Bombyx mori: one gene and its partner. The protein of the gene in region 1 interacts with the protein of each later gene in a pairwise test. Links are inferred from orthologs where the notes say so. Each region holds a gene or a part of one and is shown in the gene's direction. Other genes may lie near its edges.

Region 1 (4,272 bases):
TGCCGGACCTCCTCAGTGGGTCGTGATTCCAATCCAGTAGCAGATTCTGCGAAGCACTGCTCTTTCCAGGGCTAGTATTAACAAACTCTCTCTCTCTGAGCCCATGTGCTCACCTACCCGTCCGCGCGTAGCTGGTCTAGCCTCCTAGGCTACCAGCGAATAGGTATAGAAAATATGTGAGAACTTAAGCTAACTTTAGAACAATTAGTAATTAACAAGTTAGTAAATGCTTTACATTTAATGTATTTATTAGTCTATTAAAACATATTCACCTGTGGTTGTATGCAGTCTAACGCGATATGATGAGCAGCATTCTGCAGAGTCTTGTGTTTAGATTTGTTCTCCTCCATAATTTGACCTATACAAGACTCACAGATATGACATGAGTATCACAGAAATTGCTGAGGAAAATCTTGCTATCTTAATAATTGGCAACGTATGGAAGATACATGGTATTATAACACGACAATCAGCATATATGTTTATTAAAAACAACCCGTGAATTATTTATTTTTTATGATCCATTTGGAAATCTGTAGGTTTGTTTTCGTTGTTTTGATGAAACAAGAAACCCGAAGAATATAAATACACACCACACGGACGTAGTACAAATTCATAATATTTACTATGTTATCGTTTCATTCGTGGTACTATTTCATTTAGTCGCTTAATAATACTAGCAAGAAATCAATACCGACCTGCCATAGATTATTAAAAAATGCTTAAAGCATTAGGTACAACAAGTACAAGTACAAGTGCAAGTTTGACCTTTCCTAGAAGTATTTTAATATGACACTGTTCAACATAGTTGCTTGAATGTAATATTAAATTATCATTTTCAGCGTGACACCAGGTAATCGCTTCTTTTCCAATGTACTATCATATAAACTGATAGAGTGGAATGCATTCCTATTCCCCGAAACCAAGCCACTGCCTTTAACCAAGAAATCTACAGATCACGTATGTGTACGTGATTATATCTGCAAATCAGTTTTTCCTTTTCCCTTCAACCATTATTTAGTTTTGAAAAAGCCTGAGCTTTAATTTGCGTTTGTGGTATTTCCTTAGCCCTTTTCTAAAATCTTCTTCTTTAACCGTGGTTCAAGCCATAACGGCAATCAAAGGTGCTATACGCCCTCTCATTCACGACCACGTGACTTATATTATCACGTACTCTTTATTGTAATTTTATTTCTAAATACGTAAACAAAAAACACTCAATATTACTCTTACCATACCAAGAATGTGCTTCAATCATCATCACCAACGATCATCGTATCATATGATAAGGTATCAATATTGATACCTTTATAATTAAGCAACATATGTCTCAAAAACTATTAATAGGTATTGTGCATATTGAAATATTGTCAAGTAACCTGTTGGTGTATGACTGGCTTTATGTCTCTTAATTTAAATATAGTTTTTTTCTGTATATACCTATCTACGTTATGAAAAGTTATATTTATAAATTTAAGGCAGGATTGATTTATTATCAAATAGGAACATCAACTAAAATGCTATTTACGCAATAAGATAAATTCAAGTGAAGTATGTACACAGTTTCAATTTTAGAATACGAAAATACACTAATGCAAATTTCTACTTTGTTGATAATATAAATGTGTTCTATCGTACATATTGAATTTTCAATGTCTGTTTACGAGTTTTTTTACTGGAAATTACAAATATGATACTTATTTACATCAAATTATTTAATCTAATACTTATTATTGTTTATTGCTCCTTTGAACCACTACAGAGGAAGACTATATGCATCATGTAACCTTCACAATGATAATATTTCACATTAAGTTTAAAAGAAAATAGATAATTTAATTAGTATGTAATATTATGAGATTATTAGCATTTCGGATGATATTTGATAAATTTTAAATTTGCCGCTTTTACTTAGTTACGAGAAGTTACGTGAAATGAAATGTTTCTATTTCGATTTAATTATGGCGGACGATGATTGAACGATAGCATATCTTTTATTTAGTAGGAACGAATTAAAGTAAATAAACGTTAATGTAATTGTCGGAAACAGTCCAACACCGTGAAGGTGTAGTGCCGGGGTGGGCGGATACAAGATATGGCCGAGAATAGAAGTTCGGACAACGTCGTCATGCCGGACATTACCGAAGTATCCGAAGCCGATCCATTGTCGACGGCGACCGAGCACGACAACGAGCGGGTGGAGGGCACGTCTGTGTTGTCTACCACCATCAAAAACACCCGGCTGTCCAATGATTCTAACGGAGTTGTGACTGTACCAGTCTCGTTGCCAGTTGGGACGCTCATCGCGGGTACCACCTTCAACGTAATCACGTCAGACCATTTGCCGCATTTCAAGCCAATGATCTGCGTTGACAATGGTTTTATTTCGGGTGGGCCAGTGAGCGATGAGTTAAAAGCAACACACATCGTCATCCAGAACCCTCCTTCTCCTACTCGAACTAATTGCGAGGATGTGGTGGTAGCTGCGCCTGCGCCGCGATCGATGAGTGCACGATCATGGACGGAGACTGCGAACATGCCAGTGCTGCCGGTACGCTGTAAAAATACATCAGCAGAGCTCCACAAAAATAAATTCGGTTCAGGGGGCAGAGGCAGGTGTATCAAATACGGCATAGAGTGGTACACTCCTAGTGAGTTCGAAGCTCTATGTGGCAGAGCCTCTAGCAAAGATTGGAAGAGGTCTATAAGGTTTGGTGGAAGAAGTATTCAAGCTCTCATTGATGAGGGTATTTTGACTCCACATGCTACAAGCTGCACTTGCGGAGCTTGCTGTGATGATAAATCTGGTAAGTAATGCATGTTAAGTATGCTACAATTGAATATATTTTGAATGCTAAATTGCTGTGAATTTTTAAGCAGTAGTTTTATTAGTATTATTGTGATTATAAACCTGTAATAATGAAATCTACAGCCATGGGACCAGTGAGACTATTCACTCCATATAAAAGAAAGCGAAAGGAAGAAAGAAGTGAGAAGAAACCAAAAATTAAAAGAGAAAGCAGCATTGGAGAGAGTGAAGTGGATAACATACACCAGAGCAGTGAGAATAGTCACTCAAAAGAAGCTTGGCAGAGCATCGCTGAGGGTTTGGAAACTACTACCGATTACCAGATACTGGGGAACCCTGAAATCAAGACTGACCCCCCTCCAAGTAAATATTTTTATATCATAAATATTTATATGTTGAATTACTAGCCTTTGCTGGCTATTACAGCATTCAAAATAAGATTAGAAAACAAAAAAGCTAACTAGGATATTTTTCATTCTTTTGTATTAGAGCACATATTAGATCTTAGCGGCATGGGTGACATTAATTTAGATCTCTTTACTGTGACAAATATTTTGCAATAACTTTGCTAAATGTTGCAAATTGCGACCACTTGCGAATGGAAATTATTATTATAACATTAAATATTTTACTGATTAGTGACTGTATAAAATAAAATTTTAAATGAAATTAACAATTTACAAATTGGATGACAAATTTACAATTGGATGCTCAAATGGAGCATGCATTATGTATGTACTGGTTTTGATGTTACTAAGACAATTTATGCCTCATTTAAATGATAATAATAGTCAATTTAAACATTAATGCAAAAAATTGATATTTACGTATTTTTTCTCAGAAGTCTAGAGTTAGGTGTCTCTATGTTGTTTAAATTGATTGACAATTTAATGTAGATTTTTTGAATAAACAGCTTGCGTAAAGTTCAAGAATTTACATTGTTTTCTGTAGGCTATCAAAAATACAAGCTAAGCTATCATTAATTAAAATTCTGTTTGCAATGCAAAGAAATGGCAATGGCAACCATATACTTAAGCGAATTTTAAAAACAATTTTAACAAGAATTTTGTTTATCAACTATGGCATTTAGTAGATGATCATACCACTTAGATCATCTTAAAAGCTCTGTATAACCTAGTTATACACTACTGCTGCACCATCTCAACATTCAGCATGTGTGTGCCAAGCGTAATGCCATTATATCATCCTCTTATTGCTCATGCCTAACTTTTAAATATTTTCTCCTCCATCTGCCAAGAGGACTTCTTTGTAATAATAGTTCATTATCGGTCAAGTGGCCAGTGATTTCTTTTGTTGTTATTATCCTACTGTTATTTAACTTAACTACTGTTATGCTGGCAGGTAATTTGAGTTTTATTTATATTAGGGTCAGTGTCTATTGACTTAGGTAAATTAATAAAAAATTGTTGCAATAGAGATGTCATTCCTGTAAATATGATGAG
Region 2 (4,580 bases), on another chromosome or scaffold:
AAAAATGTGGTATATTCGAAGCGAAATTGAGAATAAGTCTTTAGTTGAAATAGATAAGCAATTTAATATAAGTAAGTCGATTTTGCAGAGACATGTAGCAAGATCAATGAAATCTCAAGGTGGACAAAAATGTCTAAGTAATATATTTAATATTTGAATAATAAATATTTCAAATTTGTTCAGAGTGGGGGTATTCATCTGATTAATCCATGGAATAACCGACACACCTAATCTCTTAACCCAGATAGAAATATCAGCACTGTCGATTGCACCTATAATTGAGGTGATGTCTGCCATGTATTTTTGTCAGTTTTTCATTTTTTTTTATTGATGATCACTTTGTTGGTGCAACTAAGTAAATAAATAAATTAAAACTATATATAAAAATAAAAGTAGTGCCAACCCTAGCAAATTTCTCATTTCGTCCCAATTAACCGCAATTTTCGGGTAAATAGGGATTACACCTATTTTTGCATTTTTTGCTTAAACTGGAATGCTAGTTGCATAATTTTAAATTAGACAACAAAGATGCCCCCAAGACTCAATCATTTTGATCCTGATATAGCATTATATACATCAACAACTACCTTAAAATTGCTCACAAAGTTGGAATTTGTCCCTAATCGCCCCATTTTACGGTATGTGGTGTCCCTACTATATACGTCTATGCTCTCCTCATCCACTTCTTGCCGGCCACCGGTCATCGCACCATCTAGCCAGGGGGCGTCCCACGTTACGTCGTCCGCTGCGCGGTCTCCACTCGAGAACCCGTCTGCTCCAGCGATCGTCAGTCCTACGGCATATATGGCCAGCCCACTGCCACTTCAGCTTGCTGACTCTATATTAGTTCAGTTGTATACTTAATATTAATTATCAACAAATCGTTAGTCATTATTACAATGGGAACCGACATAAAGTCTGTTTTTACTACCAAAATATTTTAAAGTAACGTCCTTAATATTAATCGATAGTTTGATGATATAGTTAGTTTTACAGTTGTTTTCCGAAATTATTCCATGAGAATATACTGGCAAAAGGGGAATCGTAACAATGAGAAGATACATACAAAGAACTCAAATATCATGATTCAACAGACACAAGCATCTACTGTAAATTACCACGAGAAACTGTATTTGTGTACATGTATATTAATATGTGCAACTAGAACGCAGAAAAAGAAAGAAGCTGTCCTTTACTATCTATGTAAGCAGGTCTGGTGCGCAACACAATGCATCCTTGCCGGTGTTTGCGTTTTCTATATATAAAGGAAGTTGCGAATTTAAACAAAACGTACATATTACATAATAAATGTTCAAGGGTGACTGCCGTGATATAGTAATACATCGCTTTATACCAAATCCACATCTGTTTCTAAATTTGGGTAATTGCTTTCACAATTTGTTGATTTGAAGGATGGCAATAGCCATTAATAATGTAATTGAGACTTTGACTTCATGTTTCAAGGTGATGGGGTGACATTCATGTCTATGGGTTCTAGTAACCATATTACATCAGATGAGCTGTGAACTCATTCACCCACCAACGCAATAAAAAATTCGATAGCTTTTTAAAAAGAGTTATGTTTCATTTTCCCATTCTTATTATTTTTTAATGTTTGTAACACAATGGGGGCTGTCCCGCCATTTTAAATTATCGCCATTTCGTTTCTTGTGTGAGATGGAGAATTAGACAGGAAAGTGAGATAGAAATAAAATATCCTATTGTGTTTCTCTCTGTAAATCCTTACAATATAAAATTTAACTTTAACTGTGATATTATATAAGAGGTAAGATTTTAAAATACCTATAGAGAGATGCCGTTCATATTAAACAATTCATCGAGGCGTCTGTTCGGTTTGAGTGACTTCAATGGCGTCCCTTACTAAAACTTTTTAGATGGTTCCCTCATCCTTTTCTCACACATCTCTACTCTTCACTAGTGACTAGAGAGTAGACTGTGTTTACTGTTTTCCTGGCAAGTGGCATATTCAACTTCCAAAAGAACAGAAATTTAGTAAATATGTATTTTATAACTTTCACCTTTAGTTTCAATACATTGAATGATCATAATTTTTATTATCGAAATGTATTCTTATTAAATATCTTTGACTATTTTGTTTCATAAGCCGAGAAAAATAATGAGATAAAAGAATATCATTTTAAAAATGTTTACAACTAACAACGTTCAAGCGGGCACAGTGCCCACTCTACAGTACCAAGAACATCCTCAGAAGTCACAAGGGAAGAACATAGAAAACGTACAACAAAAGAATGCTCATCAATCACAGGCACAACAGGTCATATATTGTGTTGAATTAGTAAAATAATACAGTAGGTATTTAAAATTATTAAAATATTATAATAATTGAGGACATAAATCTTTTTCAGGAATTTCCAACATTTTGTTATACAACAAATGTGAATATGATTGGTAAAATTGGAACTGCGAACACTAGTCAAACAGGGGGTGTGAACATAACGCAACTGACTACAAGCGATGACAAGACATGCTATATAGCACAACCGTTCTCATATAATTATGCACTTGTTAATCAAATGCAAATAGCTCCTAATGGAATACAAAATACAATATCAAACATTAGTTTCAAATGTGATGTTTGTGGACTTATGTTTGGTCATCTAACTTTACTGACAGCTCATAAAAGGATTCATACTCAAGATACAGGTAAAGCTACAAGCTGTACTGAAGTTTGAAAACACTGCAAACATAAATTAAGAGGGTAGATTAGTACAAAGATGATATGCGGTGTTGTTCATATTTTCAATTGTCAAGTGCAATATAATATGATATGGTTTTGTGTTGGCAAGCAGAATTAATAACATTACAATAATTTTTACAGATAACAATATTACAGTGGTAGCAACAGCTGGAAATGATGTTACAATGCCTTCACATATACAAATATTGTCATCAGACCCAAATGAACAACAAAATCAACAACACCATGTACAAATACAAGACAGTAAGTCAAGTTTTGCTCTATATTTTTCAATTTTCAAATTCTCTTTTTATTGTTTGGTGTATATTATAAGTTATACTCCTCCTTGCGTCGTTTTCCTCATTACTGAGAGTTGTGACTCCCCCGCTGCATCAGTTTCTCCCGTACGATTTCCCTCCATCTGCTGCGATCCTTAGCTTCATAAGAGCATTGTGGAAGTTGATGCTTAGAGAAGATCGTATTTGGTCCGACCATCTCGTGGGACTGCGTCCTCTGGGACGTTTGCCATCTACCTTTCCTGTCACCATCAGCTGTTCTAGATTGTGACCCTCTTTACGAGCAATATGTCCAAAGAATTCCAGCACCAGAAAGTTATACATATAGTGTACGTTAAATATCAAGGACCCATTAATGTCAGTGATAATGAATGTTTTAGATAGTCTACTGTTTGTAATTATTTTTACTTATACTGAGCTTAAAGCATTGTAGAAAATATAATTATAAAGTAATCTCTAAAGTATTTAGTTAACTTAGTTACTTAAGAATCTCTTTCCTTCTAAGACTAATAAGAATCTTGTATTTATTGTAGCCAAGCCTTTACTAGACAAAATTCAGAAATGCATATCATGTGGTGGAACAATACAGAACAATCCAAAAAGAAAGGGGCCCAAGTTAATAAGATGTGAAACCTGTATAGCACAAGACTCTGTTGATCAACATAGACCAAATCAAAGTGAGTACAACTCTGTAAAGTTCTAATGGGTAATTACATAAAAAAAATAGACAAATTATACTACAAACTACTTGTAAAGGGGTGCTCATTAGAAACTCAGTAGTCAATGAATTTAATTTAATTTATTATGGCCTCAAGGGTTAACCTAACTTGTGCTGTTATATTGGTGTGATTGTGCCTTTGTGTGACTCCCATAAGCAGGTACCAATTTGTCTTATGAAATTTGTACTTAACTGAATGAAGTAATTATCTATATATATAAAAGAAAGTCGTGTTAGTTACACTATTTATAACTTAAGAACGGCTGAACTGATTTGGCTGAAAATTGGTGGGGAGGTAGCTTAGAACCAGGAGAAGGACATAGGATACTTTTCATCACGTTCCCGTGGGACGTGGCATACAACGTGGTATAACAAAACACAACTGATATGGATTAACAAAATGCAAATGACAGCTAAACGTAACGTAGTCTAAGGTTAATTAAAGTAGAATTTTGAAGTAGACCGGTTGATGTGTTTGTTTCGAGTTTCTATTAGCTTATTGTGCCGAGATAGGTAATCATTACCAGAAAACCATGCCGCGATCAACATGATCGAATTTTTCCCGACGAAGCCGTAATGCAACTAGGGTTCGAAACATTGCGAGTGAAAGGACTGAAGAAGAACAAGAAAATATAATAATAACAACTAAAATACATGGCCAATAAAGTATCATTAAAATACTTGCTTTTTTTAATTTACATTAATTATCCAAATATAAAATTGACCTTGATAAAATTAAAAGTATGCTCATTTATTGCCTCTAAGGCGGAACAAAGTTCGCCGGGTCACCTAGTTGTGTAATAAAAATCAAAACTGAAAAAAAATATAATTTGCTAGGGTGTCTTGT

Evidence for each region.
Region 2: the proteins of deformed epidermal autoregulatory factor 1 (region 1) and zinc finger protein 665 interact in a two-hybrid assay, tested with the Drosophila melanogaster proteins (2 studies listed by BioGRID). The link is inferred for Bombyx mori from reciprocal best matches to the Drosophila melanogaster genes Deaf1 and Clamp.

The regions. Positions count from the first base shown.
Region 1 is NC_085107.1:2,583,274-2,587,545, reverse strand, and holds the start of deformed epidermal autoregulatory factor 1, read left to right. Parts: upstream 1-1,472; 5' UTR 1,473-2,095; coding exon 2,096-2,807; intron 2,808-2,932; coding exon 2,933-3,172; intron 3,173-4,272. Other genes in the region: uncharacterized protein LOC105841890, read right to left, coding at 273-350. UniProt on the Drosophila melanogaster protein: Transcription factor that binds the homeotic Deformed (Dfd) response element. High affinity binding sites contain at least 1 TTCG motif surrounded by additional TCG sequences.
Region 2 is NC_085121.1:5,965,422-5,970,001, reverse strand, and holds the start of zinc finger protein 665, read left to right. Parts: upstream 1-1,453; 5' UTR 1,454-1,786; intron 1,787-1,836; exon of another isoform or gene 1,837-2,013; intron 2,014-2,125; 5' UTR 2,126-2,164; coding exon 2,165-2,296; intron 2,297-2,387; coding exon 2,388-2,685; intron 2,686-2,860; coding exon 2,861-2,983; intron 2,984-3,548; coding exon 3,549-3,692; intron 3,693-4,580. UniProt on the Drosophila melanogaster protein: Transcription factor involved in X-chromosome dosage compensation in males, the process by which transcription of the single X chromosome in the male is elevated. Binds to the DNA sequence (GA)n.